Yarrowia lipolytica: one gene and its partner. The protein of the gene in region 2 purifies or fractionates together with the protein of the main gene of each other region. This does not show direct contact. Links are inferred from orthologs where the notes say so. Each region holds a gene or a part of one and is shown on either strand. Other genes may lie near its edges.

Region 1 (7,858 bases), on a different chromosome or scaffold from region 2:
AGCGAATGTCCTTGGTTCAGCTAATCTGGTTCAGCTAATCTGGTTAAGCTAAACCTGCGACGTATCCTCGTGTCATACTCACAATGTACTTGTCTAGACGCTTTCGCTTCTTTGAAGTCATCTTGCTCTCCGTAGGTGTGAGCTCTTCCTGGAGCTTTCTCTTTCGAGCCTCCTTCTCGGCCTCACTCTTGGGCACCATGAGCTCGGCATTGGCGTCTTCTTCCTCCTCCTCTGCTGTAGGCTTCTTGACCCAGGTTTTCTGCTTGGCGGCCTTGAGCTCCTGCTGCTTCTTCAGCGAGCCGGCTCGGGCCTTTGCGTTGTATCCTAGCTTGTATTTCGCCATAGTTGAAGCGATGGGTTGAATCAGCTTCACGCAGGTTATGCTATATTGCCCAATTTTTTCTGATTGTGCATGATGTATGCGCGGTCATGTGATGTGGCTGTTGGGAGGAGACAGGTTCTTTTTCTATAATAACTTGAAGTAAATGTTCACGTAATATATGTTTTTCTTTGAGAGTCTCAGTTATAAACCAAACTGCAGTTCACATAATTATAAACAATAAAATTTTGGTTCCCAAAAATTGGCATCGATTTTTGAGGGGCGAAAATAGTACGAGCCGCAAGTGAGGTGGTCTCAGTAGAAAAATGAAAGGTGTAATTAAAAGAGACACATTTATATTAAATGATGGTTACATAGTGTGCACACTGAGCCCTAGTATGTTATACACCATTCTCGTTAGTAATTGCTCTACAAGTAATCTATTACACATCCGCCTCATGGGTCTTTAAGCGCGACGTTGAAGCGTGCATGACTGTTCTGTGGTGACGAGAAACGAAGTCCTTCAACATAGACAACATCTTCTCCTGGCATGCCAACACTAATGCACGACGACCCCTTGGACGATGAGGAGGAAGAAGAGCCTCCACGAAACATTGGACGGGTGGTCTTTGGCCCTCGTGAATTCGACACGTGGTACCACTCGTCGGCATACTATTTTTCACAGAAGGACGAACTCAAGAAGTTGACCTGGAAGCGGGCCATGGCGTTGATGGAGGCCAAGGCCCTCGACAAGGACAAGGACAATCACACCTGCGACATGTCCCGGCTCTTCATTGAGCGCTACAGCTCTCCGTCTGTTGGCACACCTGGAGGAACCTCTTCTGCATTAACATCCTCAACCATTTCGTCCTCTGGATCATCAGCAAACGCATCTGTGGCCCCCAATGACCAACCACCAGCCCAGGTCGACTTCCAGGTCAAACAGCTGTTTGTCTGCGACTCGTGTTTCAAATACTCGAAGGTCTCCAAGGACATGGCCCAACACCGAAGCACCTGCAAGTATGTGTTCAAGCACCCCGGAGAGACGGTTTACAAATCGAAAGACTATGCCATTCGCCGTGTTGATGGCGCCGTTCACAAGCTCTACTGCCAGAATCTCTGTCTGTTCGCGAAGCTCTTCCTGGACCACAAGTCTGTGTTCTTCGGCGCCGATGCCTTTGAATTTTATGTTGTGCTCGGCAAGGATACCGCCAGCAGCAGGCACTTTAAACCCATGGGCTTCTTCTCCAAGGAGAAACTGTCGTGGGACGAAAACAATCTGGCTTGCATTCTGGTATTTCCTCCGTATCAAAGGCGAGGGCTGGGCAAACTGCTGATCGAGTTTTCATACGTGCTGTCGAAGTACGAAGGCCGTAAAGGAAGTCCAGAGCGACCGCTGTCGAAGTTCGGCACTTTATCATATATGTCTTACTGGTGTACTACGATAGCCCGGTTCATCTTGATAGAGTGTACAGAAGACGTCATCACGATTGAGACGATCAGCGAACATACTTATATCCAGCCGGAAGATGTGATGCGAGCACTCAAAGAAATGCATGCTGTAGTTCTCTACAGCGACGAAAAAGCCAAGAAGGTACAACTGGGAGGACGGGTTTTGAAGAAATCTGTTAGACGTTGGGTTAACAGTGGCAATGTGAAACTGAGCCCTGTGATTGACGAATCCATGGTGTTTTTGGAGTGACAAAGATGGAAGTTGATGTTACAGTCAAGACCTATTTAAGCCGCGAGCTACAGGTCTTCTGGCTGACTGGGTGCTACATTACTATGCCCCAGACCATATTGTTTCATGTAATGTACATATATTTATAATGCAAGGTGATAATGCCTGGACCGGGATCATAACGGAACAGGGTGTATAATAGTTGTGAATCTAGTTCTTTCGAGGCTTGACCAGACCCTTGTAGACGAAGTAGTAGACGATGGTGGAGTCATTGTCCACGATGGCCATTAGCATGCGATCGACGTCTTTTCCAGCCACACCCTCAGCCTCGCGAAAACACTCGTCCCACTGCTTGATAGTCCAGTCGTCGTTGGATCTGGCAGGTACTAGCCATTCCGATCTGATCTCAGCGTCATCAGGGTGCAAAGTCCTGGGTGGAGTTCCATGCACCAGGTCTGTGAGCTTAGTCTGGTGGATGACCACGTCGCTCCACAGATGCTGATGAACAAGGTTGGTTCTTATTTGTTCAGCCATGGTGAATGTGTGATTGATAGTGGTTGTTTTGTTCAGTATCTGTGCCAGTCGTCTACCACTAACTTTTTCTGCTTACTGTGCGTCTCAAAGTTTCTGCGGGCGCGTTATCTCCGTCGGATTTAATTTTTAACGGTCCTAGGAAAATCTGCATATGCTGGAAAATACTCGTGTTTGGGAGAAGACTTGGGTGCCACCAAAAACCTGGATTAGGCTCAGAACTCTACAAGTCCGGGAAACGTAACACTGAGATACGACTGGCGAAAGCGAGGCGGCGGTAAGTCCGTGAATATAATGCTTATTGACCGTTTGAGGGCGTTTAATATGTTGATTCACTGTTATGAACATTTTTGCTGCTCGAACGCACGTTTTACGCCTCCAAACGCCCGACTTTTCACCCGTTTCTCCTCCCAGCCGTACAAACATTCTGCTTATACTTCATGTATCTCATTTTTTGAGCTAAATCACGCATCAGGTTTAAAAACACACATCACCCTCCAACAGTCTTCCTAACACACCTGTGAAGTCACGACCATTTTCGCCACCGCCTAAAAACACGTTGAAAACAAGAGTATTTGAGCTCAGCATCTGCCCTAGTGCCCCCCAAACCCGCATTCGCACGCTACATCGCATAGCCTCAACACACGTGTAACACTACTGTACACAACAATGAAATTCTCGGTACTTCTTCTTGCCGGAGCCGTTCTGGCGCTGCCAACAGCTACCGTGGTAAACACCGAAGCCATCGACTACTCGACCATCACAGATTTGCCCGGATCCGAGCCCACAGACGTGTCTGACCTCGAGAAGCGAGCAGACCCCTTTAAGCGACCCCCCAAGGTGTTCTCCAAGAAAACTAAAATCACAAAGGCCCATGTGACCAAGCCGTGGCTGCTGAAGCCCACAGATGGAGGTGAACCCATGCATGTCACCCCCACCGTCTGGGGAGACGCGCTTTTCCGAGGCCAGCGACAGGTGGGTGCTGTTCCCAACCCTTGGATCAAGCTGAAGAAGGACGGTCAGGCCAAGACCATCACTCCCAAGGTGGTCAAAGGAAAGACTAAGAATGCTCCTCCTGAGTATGGAGACTGGTTCCACGTCAACCGAGACGTGACTGAGAACGCTCGTTCTGCTGGCTACAAGACCGCTCACCCTACTGATGTCGTGGTCCACAATGAGATGTTGGACGAGGAGGATCCCATCGAGGCCTCCTTCAACCCTGTTGAGCGATGCACACCCGAGAAGTTTATCAAGGTGAAGAAGCAGCGAGTTGGCCCCTGGTGCTCCCCTCAATACGGAAAGGGTGTCATGCTTGATCACGTCCACTGGTTCACCTGGTACACCCGAGAATTCCCCGACGCCGAGAAGGTCCGACTCCACTGCGCATACATTCAGGGTAAGGCTCTGCACAAGCGAGAAATTGAGGACAGCAGTGTCTTCCACATCACCGAATGGGTGTCAAACACCTGGGGAGTCTACCCTATGGAGATTGAGGAGGAGTGGCTCGATGGCGAGTACGAGCAGAAGGTTGCCGTTGCTATCCAGCCTGACTACATGGATGACGACGAGATCACCGATGACTATCTTCTGAAGAACTCTACTTTTGTGCGATTCCGACGAGGTGCCATCGTGCAGAAGAAGGACAAGGGACGACTTGATTTGGACAAGAACGAGGAGGGCATGATGATCACCATCATCACCATCCCCTCTGTTGTCGTCATTTTCGCCTGTATCTATGTCCTGTTCACACAGATCACTGCTGGAGCTCGGGCCATCCCCAAGTTCAAGAACCAGCGACGGCGAAAGGATGGCCGGCAGTACGAGAACATCAAGCTGCAGAACCAGCGACGACGACTCGACTAAATCAGTCTCTGACACTCTCACAATCGATAAAAAATGGTTGGTCCTCCTTTAGAATTTACCTCCCCTTGTTAGCATAATAATAATCCCGTTTCTTTAGCCCTCGTAGATACAGGTTGTTTCGTATATATCCCGTTGGTTCAACCCCACACGAGGGCACCATATCAAGCCGACTTTTGAAGACTTGGTGGAGCGAGGTCCACGAAGCCAAGACAGATACAGGTCGTACATACATATGTATATACAGTCGATATCTTATACTCAGACATGTGTCGTTTGTGTTCGATGTACTGACACAACTAAGGGTTATACTGGTTCGTGCCTGGACTGCATGCATAACCGTTGTATAAAGTTGTGTCTACCAAGCATGTGTTCCGTTTCCCAGACAGATTGTTTGGGGTTTGGGGCGGTTGGAACTTGGTCGGAGGTTATATAGAGCGCATTATTGGAGGCTTTGTGTTGGATTTATGGACCCTTTTCTCTCAAATTACCGTTATGACGCCACCCAGATGAGTAAGCATGGCGACAACGTTCTTTCCTGCCCTGTAAATCCACACGTTTTCTGCCACCTCAAATTGAAACTCACTGTCCATCACAACAACCGTTTGCGAGATATACTTTGCGTGATTGGGGATATGGGGATATATATAAGGATTCAAGAAGAGTGTATTCGTACACAGCGGGTCCATTTTTATCTCGGTTTCACTTTAATTAACGGGGGGAGCAGCATTATTTCATGTTGTGTCTACTGGTAGCCCCGCGTTGTCTTGCCTGGCTGCAGCATTTTAATCTGCGCAGAAAAAAAAAAAGCATCGTTGTTGGGAAAAAAGACGACGCACAAACCGAGCTTCGTGTTACAGTAACCCTGGATCGTGTGAAGAGGCACGTGTAGCAAAAAACCAGACGCACAGAGGGGAAATCAAAACGGCTGAGTCAGCTATTTTTATTCCTCGCTCAAAAGAAGACCATTTTATGGTGCCGTTGGGGTAAAAAAGTCGTCTAGTCATTATGCTGACCAACCTCCATCCTCACCCATGCATGCCAGCGGCTGTGCATGATTATAACCTTCGTAAGCACACCATCTGGAAGAACATCACCAGTCGCTCAACGCAACAACACCACACATGGAAAAAGACGAAGGGACGGGGACCCTGAGAGGCGCGACGGTCAAGACGGTGGTCACCGCGTCGATACCGTCGGAAGACAGCTCGAAAACCCTGATCACAGAACCTCTGAGGGCCAAACGATCCTTCAAACAATGGCTCTACCTGCTATCGCATGTGCTGCTCATCGTCTTCATTATCGGCTTTATGGTCGTATCTCCGATCGACATTATCACCCAGTCGCGACAAACCAACCAGTTCTGGAACGGCGCTATCGTCATTGCTGGTTGTGTCATCTTCATCTTTCTAGCATTACTACTTTCGTTTCTACGACTGTTTCGAACCCGACAAAACCTCTCAGATATCCCGCGACGCTACGTGCCTCGCCCAGACGACGTGCCCAAAAATATTGCCAAGGAGATCAGAAACGATTTGGACAGATGCAAACAAATCCTACGAGACACGAGACCAATAGAGAAGGTGGCCCATGACGGCCTGGCACCTCCTGACTCGTCAGGAGACATACCTCCAGACGTTCCGTATAAGGATGTTGTTGACACTACGGCATTACTGGTTGATTCGCGCGCCAGAAACATTCACTTTTCGTTTGGAAAACCCGTCGGTATGCCCTTCAGAGAGTACATTTCTCATCTGATATCGTGCCATGTTATTTCGGACGCAAACGTCGGATTACAGTTTGTCGAGCTCTACGAGAGACTTCGATTTTCCGGCAAGCCCATTTCTGCCCCCGAGATTCGCACATTTATCGAGCGTCTCTTGCGTCTGATGGAGAACATCGACTTCCCCCCGGAAGATGTTCTCTACAAAAACACCACTGCCAACCCCAGCAGTGTCGCAGGCACGCAGTTTACCTCACACAATCATCTGCTTCCTCCACCGGCTATCGGCAGTAAATCCAACGCCTCCGTTGCTCCTAACTTCCTGTCAGACGACCTGGCTGTGCTAACTACCTGGTCGAGCAACGTCAACAGTGAGTCACCTGTGCATCGAGGCTCTAACGCCAGGTCGGATGCTGAACATGTGTTGCAACAACAAAACAGCCACGTTCGTGCAGGTTCCATGAACCAGGCTGCTCATCCAGTCATCAACCATCCCTATCACTTTTTCACCGGAGGCGATCATCCCCAGAATGACACTGGTCTTTTTGAGCATCCGCTGTCTCGAAGCTCCACCCGTGGGTCTCGAATCTCTCGCTTCTCACCTGTTGGCTCAGTTATCGGTCCCGATGACTACTATGATGTCAGTCCTCGAGTGGCCCCTACTCATAGCAGCAGTGATGAGAGCTACGCTGGAAGTGTGATCATCAGGCGGGAGGAGAGCTAACAGCAACTAGCAACCAAACAACTAACACTGTAAACTACAGACAAAAAAAAAACGTCGCCATACTGGTAGGCGTTCCTATTTATTAGCATTTCCATTTAATAAACCACTAATTGCTCCATCTGAGCGTATTTGTATCACTATAACTATGAGTACTGTACTTGAACTGTATGTATGTACAGGCGTATGTACTGCAAGCACCGTGTACCCAAGAACGACGCATATCTACAGAAACCCCATATATCGTTAGCAGTGGCTTGCTTAAAGAAACCACTTCATAATCATTACACTAAAGAAAAGCATCGAATCATCATCGTCTCGCATATTCGCCTCCTTAAAAAGCATCTTACAAATCTATCAGCGATTGCTGGGGTGCTCCTCCGCCGTACTGTTGCTGCTGAGGCTGCTGCTGTCCAAACTGGCCATACTGCTGTTGACCATACTGCTGCTGGTTCTGCTGCTGTCCGTACTGCTGCTGTCCGTACTGCTGCTGTCCGTTGCTCTGCTGCATGCCGGTCTGCTGTGGCGCGTTGCCAAAACCGTAGCCGGTCACTGCAGGCTGGATCTGAGTGCTGGGGATACCGGTGTACTGCTGGCCCACAAACGGGTTGTTGTTGGCTGTGGCCTGGGGCTGCAGACGAGCGTTCATGAACGTGTCTCGGGTGTGCTGTGCGGGGATTCGGGTCTCGCCAGTGTTTCCAAAGGTGTCGACTCCGTCTCCGGTCATGAGCAGGTTGTTGAGTTCGGGATGAGCACCGCCAGTGACCTGGGCACGCTGCTTGGGTGCCGGTTGCTGTTGCTGCTGCTGCTGCTGCTGCTGCTGCTGTTGGTGGTTGGGATGTGCCTGGGTGGTCATGTTGTTAGAAGCCATGAAGTTGAGGGAGGGACCAGTGGAAGAAGAGCCGTTTGTAGAATCATGCTTTGCAAAGGGGTTGTTAGAGCCAGTTTTGAGAGGCTGGAGGGGCTCAGCAGGCTGCTGCTGCTGCTGCTGCTGGAAGGACTGAGAGAAGTCGTTTTGCTGCT
Region 2 (8,588 bases):
CTCTAACGATGGCTTCAGTTGACTTTTCCATCTTGTTCCCCTGTTCAAAGTAGTTTTTCTTATCAGTTTTCGCCTTTTCCTTGAGAAGTGGGACCCTTCGCTCCAGACCCTGATTCTCTTCAATGATATCGACAAACCTGTCTAATCATCGGGAAATTGAACATTCTAGAGCCCTAAGAAGTTCCTTGGATGTTTAGGATGGGTTTCAGAAGTTCCTTGGATGTTTATGATGGGTTTCAGAAGCTCCTGGGATGTTTATAATGGGTTTCAGAAGTTCCTTGGATGTTTATGATGGGTTCTAGGTCGTAGTCCGAGAATCTGCAGGAGTTCCTACCCGTTCTGCTCAGTGCACTCCACTTTTCGTACGTAGTAGAGACACCGGGACTTCGAAATACTCTTGGTCGGAGAGAGTTTAGCTCCATTGTCAGAATTTTCTTACGAAAATGGTCACTTGTTCCTCCAATTCTGCCCTGTCTAGGTCTCCGGGGACCAGTCTATCTTGTGGTGAAAAGAGAATGCAGCTTCTTACAGCTGAGAAGAGCTCAATTGGCCAAGAGGAGTTGAAAAACCAGAGAAACCAGGATGGAAAAAGTACTTTACAGTACTGTGGAAGTCACTTTTTGTCCCGGCTACTTTTCTATATCTCGTTGAACCGGAATACTACTGCATTGTCGACGTCTCTCATATCAGCCGCGATTTCGAGAAAAACTTATAAATCCCTCGAAATAAACCGTAGAAGGCGACGCAAGGCTCGTACAATGCGCGTTTTGAAACTATACATTGCTAAAGTCTTTACAATGGTCCTGTTTTGGTACTGTACTTGGTGAGGTTCTGGAGATTCATTCTCCGTTCAAGTTGAGAATGGTAAGTCTGAACAGCATTCCCAAGGATCCATTCACTAAAAAGTACTAATATATATCATATTGGAATGTTGGTAATACCAATGAATTCCCCCCGACTCGTGAATTACAAATACACCAATAACTATGGAATTACATTGATATCCACCTGTCATTGCCATATTGTGGGTGGACATAAACTCCCCTCCCCCCCAGTTGGCTTATTTGTTAAGCGTCCCAAGTATAGTCGATATACTGTTGGGAGTTTTCATCCTTCTTATTCACTTTTTAACTACAGTACAAATTTCTGTTAAGGAACTACTTATATTGAACACACAGTAGCACTTCAGAACTGCCCCTCATTCTCCCAAATCGACTCCAACATCAACCATCTTCTAAGTAATGAATTTTGCAATGAATCTCCGACTATCGGCTTCGCCCCCACTCTCGCCCCCACTCGCCCCCACTCTGCGCCCTTTGCCCTTAATCACCCCCTTCTGCAAGCCACAACTGAGTTCAAGAGCCGTCTATACCCAGACAAGAGCCGCGCGAGGAAGGGTTCAACCAGCTTTTCGGGCCGTAAAAACGGTCAATTGGGAAACCAAGCGTTTAAACCGTCTATTACTAACCCTACAACACCTTTTGCGCCGTCTTTCAGCCGCTCACAAGCCAATTGACCCCCGTTCCGTCCAACCCTAACCACACCACCCCACACCTTATCTTACATCTCCACCGCACTCTCTCTCTCTTCTTCACCAACTACTACAACCTCTGTAAACATGTCTCTCAAGCAGTCTCTGAAAGTCGCACTGATCCAGTTTGCCGCCGGAGCCGACAAGGCGGCTAACATTGCCAAGGTGACCACCAAGGTGGCGGAGGCGGCGAAAAACGGAGCCAAGCTGGTGGTCCTCCCCGAATGCTTCAACTCGCCCTACGCCGTGTCGGCCTTCCCCAAATACGCCGAGAAGATCCCGGATGGCGAAACCACCTCGGCTCTGTCGGATCTGGCCAAGAAACACAACCTATTCCTGGTAGGAGGCTCATACCCGGAGTCCGACGCTGGCAAGGTCTACAACACGTCGGTGGCCTTCTCTCCCTCCGGCGACATTATCAGCAAGCACCGAAAACTGCACCTGTTCGACATTGACGTGCCCGGAAAAATCACCTTCAAGGAAAGCGAGACCCTGACCGGTGGCGACAAAATCACCCTGTTCGATATGGAGGGCTACGGCAAGATCGGCCTGGGCATCTGCTACGATATCCGGTTCCCCGAGGTGGCGGCCACCGCCGCTCGAAAGGGCGCCTTTGCCATGATCTACCCCGGCGCTTTCAATACCACCACCGGCCCGCTGCACTGGCATCTGCTTGCCCGAGCCCGAGCCGTCGACAACCAGCTGTACGTCATTGCGTGCTCCCCCGCCCAGGACCTCAACTCGGGCTACCACGCCTTTGGCCACTCGCTTGTGTCCGATCCTCTGGGCAAGATTATTGCCGAGGCCGACGTCGACGAGACCGTGGTTTACGCTGAGCTTGAGCCTGAAGAGTTGGCGGCAGCTCGACAGAACATCCCTGTTGGTACTCAGCGACGGTTCGATGCCTACGATGATGTGAGCAAGACCGCCAAGGTGAGTGCTGTTTAACGGCGTTGCGAGTATCGACAGAATTAGCGGAGCCATGGTTGAACACAGCTCATGCTTATGAGCGACGCTGTGCAATTCAAACTAGCTGGAATTAAAATATACACTTGCTGCTATGTGATGAATGAATGAATCTGATGAGATGAGATGCTCCGGGACTACGTACGACTCTCTTGTAGTTGTGGACTACGTACGACTTCTCTTGTAGTTATGAAGACGCAAGAAGTCTGCTTTGATATAATTGATGTGCAATTAGGAGTGGTTTCTGAAGACAACTTCTGAACAATTAACGAGTTCACAAATCAGATACGAGTTCATGTCTTGGAAGAGGGCTTCTGATGTTGTACTACTGTTTGAATATAGTATGTACTACAGTTGAGTCATGACCCGTGCACTCGTGGAAGTTGACAATCGACTGTCTAGAATCAATCGACTGTCTGCGATACAAGATCTTCTCAACTAAAAATCCCGTGGCTTCAGTCACTCTTTCTGGTCATTGCCATGGATAGAGTGATTCTATATTCTATGTGCATTTTCGAGCTGAAATATGGCCATCATCAACTCTTCCTGGCACATTCCAAACAGACCGCGGATTGTCTCCATCAGTTTTCATCTTCTCGGAGTTTCTTGACTAGAATCTCTTAGTCTGAATATCGCTTTCTGAATCTGGTTTCAACCTGGATTCGTTGCCATAATCTGGAGTCGGTGCTATCAGCCCAGTAAGACTACACTTCAAGAAGCTGCCCAAGTGGACTCTGGGATTGTGGCTTTCTCTTGTTGGATTCCAGTATGGATCTCGTCCGTCTGACCCGACTATCGTCTGTCTGATCCAAGTATCGCTCGTCTGATCCGAGTATGGATCTCCTCTGTCAGGTTCAAGGACTCCAGCTTCTTCAGCGCTGCCCACACATGTTCTCAAGCATGTGTTTTGATAGACCAACTAGCTGTATCAGAGCCCGGGCTCCTCGTGTCAAGTTTCGTTGCTCGCCATATTGGAGAACTTGGAAGGCGCTCGCTACTTCGATATTCTGGTAACTATCTTGTGTTTTTCGACCTGAAATCAAATCACACAGGCTATTTGGAGTCAATTGAACTGGTTTGTGGCGACAATTGAGCAATATTACCACTATTAGCGGGCTCCCAAGATCCCATCGGTGCCTTCGGGGTTAGATGCCGACATACAGGCATATTTAGACCAACAGGGTTGCATTAGAATGTCTATAACGGGAGGTTGAGGGGTTATATAACGTCCCAATAGATTTTTGGAATCATTATGACTTCCCAGAAACTTCAAGACTTTGTATGAGTTGTTTATTAGGCGAGTTGAAGATATCAATATACTACTTAAGTTTAGTTAAGAAATTGAAAAAATCCGAATACGTACTTGTAAAAGTACTCTTTTTAGTAGTTTAATACATTAATAATCAGGTTAAAACTCTCTAAATCCACTCTATATACTTATTTAAGAAATTAATTGTAGTTTTATACAAAATAATATCATTCTAGATACATATTACTAGAAAACACTTTTGTTGCCTTTACTTGACTGACACATCTCAATTGAGTCTATTTACTGATGCTCAAGTAATTAATTCAAGTCCATGGACCCATATCAATACACATCAGAGACGTTCAAATCTGACCAGATAAAGTCTTATCTAGCACTACTCGCCGTCAAAAATCAAGCTGAAACTCCGGTATTCCTCCTTCGCCTCCTAATCTTCCCTAAAATGGGATGTTTTTTTATTCTTTTTTATGATTTTTTTATTCTAAATATGATTTAATTTTCTCCCTTCCTTCTCAAAAACTCCCCTATCGAACCTTGCCCCAACTTTCGGTTGTATAGTGTAGTGGTTATCACCTTGGATTCTGACGAAAGCTCAGCTAACTTCCAGTAACCCCGGTTCGAGTCCGGGTACGACCTATCTTTTTGTCGGCTTCTTTTTTGGCCCGTTCGAGAGCTCCAGGCGTCTTGTATGTCAATCATACATACTTGTTATAGGTTATGAGCTAAGACTATAGAGTGCCAACTAACACCCCATCTGAAAAACATGATCCTGTGAAGCTCAAGACGTGATTTTTGAAACCCAAGTTCTCCTTGCCGTTTGCTACCGTCTCCAATTTCAAAATTCCAAAAATGCCCACCCTATCGTGCCCTATACACCCCCTCCCTACCCCATAGTAAACACCAGTCTTACACACATATTTCAGAACTCCCAACCCCCGGGTAACCGCGGTGGGTAGTTATAAAGCAGAAAAAATCCACCCCTTGTCGTCATAACCACAGAGCCCATTGGTGAGTACCAACCGACACAAACAGGGAGAGCGCACAGCGCACAGCGCACAGCACACAGTCGCGCGCACAATGCTCTTCCTCTTGACATGATGATATCGAAAACCTTTCTTGAACTCCTGAGAGTGATTTCTTATAGACTACAACGGTATCTGATTTTTGTGATTCTGCCCTTGTTGCCTTTTTTTCCGCCTTACTAACCAAAGTCCGCCGTCGTTGAGCTCGCACAGCGCCAATTTGTGTAATGAAAAAACAAAACTTGAACGCGTTATACCCCCATCCATACCCGTATGTGGTGGATGTCGTGCCACCGGTGATACACAATCCCATCTCGGTGTTGTATTTTCTCTGTAGATGGATCTTTGCCGGCAATACAAGCCCAGAGTATACCGCCGAGTATGTTGATGGTGTAGTTCGGGCCGTTGGAGACGCTCGCGAGGGTCTGTGGAAGATGGGCTTCTTTGGCAAGGGCATCTTGTCTCGGTCCGAGCCCTCGTGGGACATTCGAACCAAGAGACGTCTGGGTCTCCATGTGGAGGAGGGGGTGTATGCCCCTGAAGAGGTGACTCAGTTCCGACGAGAGCAGCGGCAGCATTTCAAAGCCGAGCGAGCCAAGGCCGAGGAGGAGGAGCTCAAGAGACGCCAGGACATTGATCGGGGTCTGGCGGTGGCTGACAAGAATGAAGACGACAAGCCTGTTCGTCCGGAGTTTGATCGGGACGCGTTTCTCGCCAAGTCTTACGAAATGGAGAAACGAACGGAAGACGACGAGGTGGTGGATTCGCTGGGCAACCTCGTGGATATCGAGTTTCTACAGCTCATGGACGTGGAGGCGCTGTTTCTTCACATGGCGTTTGGACTCAAGGTCGGCGACATGGATGTGAAGGCCATGGTTGACGAGTTCACCCGCAAGGACCCTCGGTTTCTGACCTATTACGCCGTCTACCACCACTACCGATCGCTAGGTTGGTGCGTTCGGTCGGGCATCAAGTTTGGAGCCGACTTTCTGCTGTACAAGAAGGGTCCTCCGTTCACCCATGCCGAGTTCTGCATCAAGGTGATGCCTAAGGACGAGCCCATGCCCGACTTTTGGTGGCAGTCGAACCTGTGTCGAGTCATTGGCGGAGTCAAGAAGACCACTGTCTTTTGTTTTGTGGATGTGCCAAAGGTCGAGGGCGTTGTCGATGATGCCAAGCTGGTGGAGGTGTTGAAGCAGTTCAAGGTGCGAGAGGTGGTGTATAGGCGGTGGATTCCCTCGAGGAATCGGGACTAGCGGCGGTGGCGGGTGACAGAGTGAGATTTGAACGGATATGCCGGAACTCTCAGAATGTTCTTCACCAGAGACTTCACCAGAAACTTCACCAGAAACCTCACCAGAAACTTCACCAGAAACTTCACCAGAAACTTCACCAGAAACTTCACCAGAAACCTCACCAGAAACTTCACCAGAAACTTCACCAGCAACTTCACCAGCAACTTCACCAGCAACATTCTTCACCAGAAACTCCACCAGCAACATTCACACCAGAACCGTGCTTGTCCCCACCAGCAACAATGCCGTTGAACAGACCCAAGGTCTTGGTCACTGCCCATTGAATCTCGCAGGCGTGACGCCAATCAGCAAAGACCCACAAGCGCCACCAATTTCAAGTCTGTACTTTAGAAGATGGAGCCAGAGATCCTGAATTGGAATCCACGGAGATCGAACAAGTAACCATTAGTTTCAACCAGAAGCAACAGTTCCTTCGTCATATCATCTCTTTTCCTCCAGTATATCGTCACCGTTGACATATGTATGGACTTCTTCAGCTCAATAGTTCCTTATCCACGGAGATCTCTTACATCCACCCCTCTAGAACGGATTTATCGATCTCGATCTAGACTGTGGTTTACAGGCGAATATTTATTCATGTACATATCACTTGTTGGGGATGGTTTCAGGACATGTATTACGGCGTGTAGAGAATAGTTGGCATCGATTTGTGAGCTGAAGTCATAACTCCTGCTGTACATTTGTCAGTCCATATCAATGTAGGTGAAACGTCCAAGACATCGCAGTATCGTATTCATACTACCTCCTAGACTTACAATCGCTCCCACAATCTCTCTATAAATACATTCTATTCTATAATACACTAGAGCTCTCCTCGAAAGGCCTTGTTGACCCACGCACAATCTCTCTTGCCGTCCTCGGCCTTGGAGGAGGCGTCAGATCCGTCGTAGCCGTCGCCAGGCTTGGAGATGCACACGTAGCCGGACTTGTCGGGATACACGCACTTGATTTCCGACGCGGGGAACTGGCACGGGCACTCCAGTGGCGAGTTGACGCATGTGAGGGTATCGGGGCATACGTGGCCGTTATCACACGAGACTGGGTTAGTAGATGATGGATTGATTACCAAGCCGCCATGTCTGGGTTATGTTTGTACGGCCATCTGATAGGTAACCTGGCTCTTCCCAGCGGTCACTCCACTCTCACTCCATTCAGCTACTCACCCTTGTGATACTCCTGGTTGTGCCAGGACTCCTCGACGGCAAACTCCTTCTTGAGCATCTGGTTGAAAAAGTTGCCGAAAATCTGGGCGTGCGCGGCCGCCGCACATGTCAAAATCACTGTTGGTCGCATGTTGGAGTGTGGTACCGGGTGGTGGTGTAGAGACACGTCAGTATTTCACTACTTGTAGTGCATCTCGAACCCAATCACGGAGGAATTTAAGTTGATTTTTGGAGTATTTTTGGAATATTCCGATAAATGTCAAAAGGGCGAAAAAAACCGATTTTCGATATTCTCGACATCTAATTGACCATCCCACATCATCAGTTCTATCATCAAGGTCTTCTGTCTACCGTCGTTAACATCTATATTCAGTATACCTTTGTGGTGCCACTGTCAACGTCTATCCAGTATAAATATCGCTTGTTCGAACCAAGTTGTTCAACTAGTGCCGTAAAACTCCCTCCACAAAGGCATCACCATGGGTAGATTCTCCGCGCTCAGCCCCGGGTACCGCTCCCCAATCACCTTGACCAACTCATCGTACCACACCTTGTATCCAGGTCCGGCAAAATGCAGGCCGTCCTTGAGATACTTGGTCACTGAGGTTTCGTGCTCGTTACCCTCCCCTTCAACGGTGCTGGGAAACGGCATTCCGGGCTCCCATCCAGCGTCGGTAGCAAAAGCGTGCCACAGATTAGTGCTAGGAAGACCCATCTTGAGAGCCACCTCACAGGCGGCTTCGGAGTACCTCTTTTGCAGCTGTGACGACCGCGGGTTCACGCCCGGCTCGTCCTTGAACATTTCTCTTCGAGCCAGTTCGTCGTGGGGCGCGGGACCCGTGAGGATCACCTTGATACCGCGGTCCACCGCCTGCTGAGCCAGCTTCTCCAGATTGGCCTTGTATCGGTCGAGAGGAACATGTTGTTCGTTGGTGGCGCTGTCGTTGGACCCGAAGAAAATCACCACCAGCTTGATTCCCTTTTCATGCTCCAAAATGTGGTGGAAAAACTGGACCGCCTGGTCCGTGTTGTAGCCCGAGTATCCTCTGACGAGAATGTCCATTTTGCGCTGGTACAGATGTTGAAGGGCCGGGGCGAGTGCAAAGGTGAGATCCTGGTCGCTTGAGTACTGCGTAATTGAGTCTCCAAACAGGAGAATCTTGTCCATATCCGGATTCATGGGTGGAGTCATTATGGTTGGTTGAATGAGTGTGATGGAAAAGACATGATGCGCAATGGATGGGCACTAACTGCAGTACGAGTACGGTATCGTACAATGCTTGTGGGTGTATAATGGTAGGAAAATCAAGAGACAAAGAGAGT

The links. Proteins that work in one complex are often made in the same cells at the same time.
Region 1: the proteins of YALI1_B09333g (region 2) and YALI1_D35126g purify together in Saccharomyces cerevisiae (affinity purification with western blotting; 3 studies listed by BioGRID, with this or other methods). This does not show direct contact. The link is inferred for Yarrowia lipolytica from reciprocal best matches to the Saccharomyces cerevisiae genes SEN2 and SEN15.

Annotation. Positions count from the first base shown.
Region 1 is NC_090773.1:3,507,215-3,515,072, reverse strand, and holds YALI1_D35126g (uncharacterized protein), read right to left. Parts: upstream 2,535-7,858; coding exon 2,211-2,534; downstream 1-2,210. Other genes in the region: YALI1_D35148g (uncharacterized protein), read right to left, coding at 83-343; YALI1_D35143g (uncharacterized protein), read left to right, coding at 870-2,021; YALI1_D35119g (uncharacterized protein), read left to right, coding at 3,201-4,394; YALI1_D35096g (uncharacterized protein), read left to right, coding at 5,516-6,838; YALI1_D35061g (uncharacterized protein), read right to left, coding at 7,182-7,858.
Region 2 is NC_090771.1:929,824-938,411, reverse strand, and holds YALI1_B09333g (uncharacterized protein), read left to right. Parts: upstream 1-5,013; coding exon 5,014-6,042; downstream 6,043-8,588. Other genes in the region: YALI1_B09367g (uncharacterized protein), read left to right, coding at 1,619-2,479; YALI1_B09320g (uncharacterized protein), read left to right, coding at 6,097-6,328, 6,391-6,557; YALI1_B09316g (uncharacterized protein), read left to right, coding at 6,565-6,715, 6,763-6,851; YALI1_B09310g (uncharacterized protein), read right to left, coding at 6,905-7,140, 7,266-7,395; YALI1_B09299g (uncharacterized protein), read right to left, coding at 7,705-8,457. UniProt on the Saccharomyces cerevisiae protein: Constitutes one of the two catalytic subunit of the tRNA-splicing endonuclease complex, a complex responsible for identification and cleavage of the splice sites in pre-tRNA. It cleaves pre-tRNA at the 5'- and 3'-splice sites to release the intron.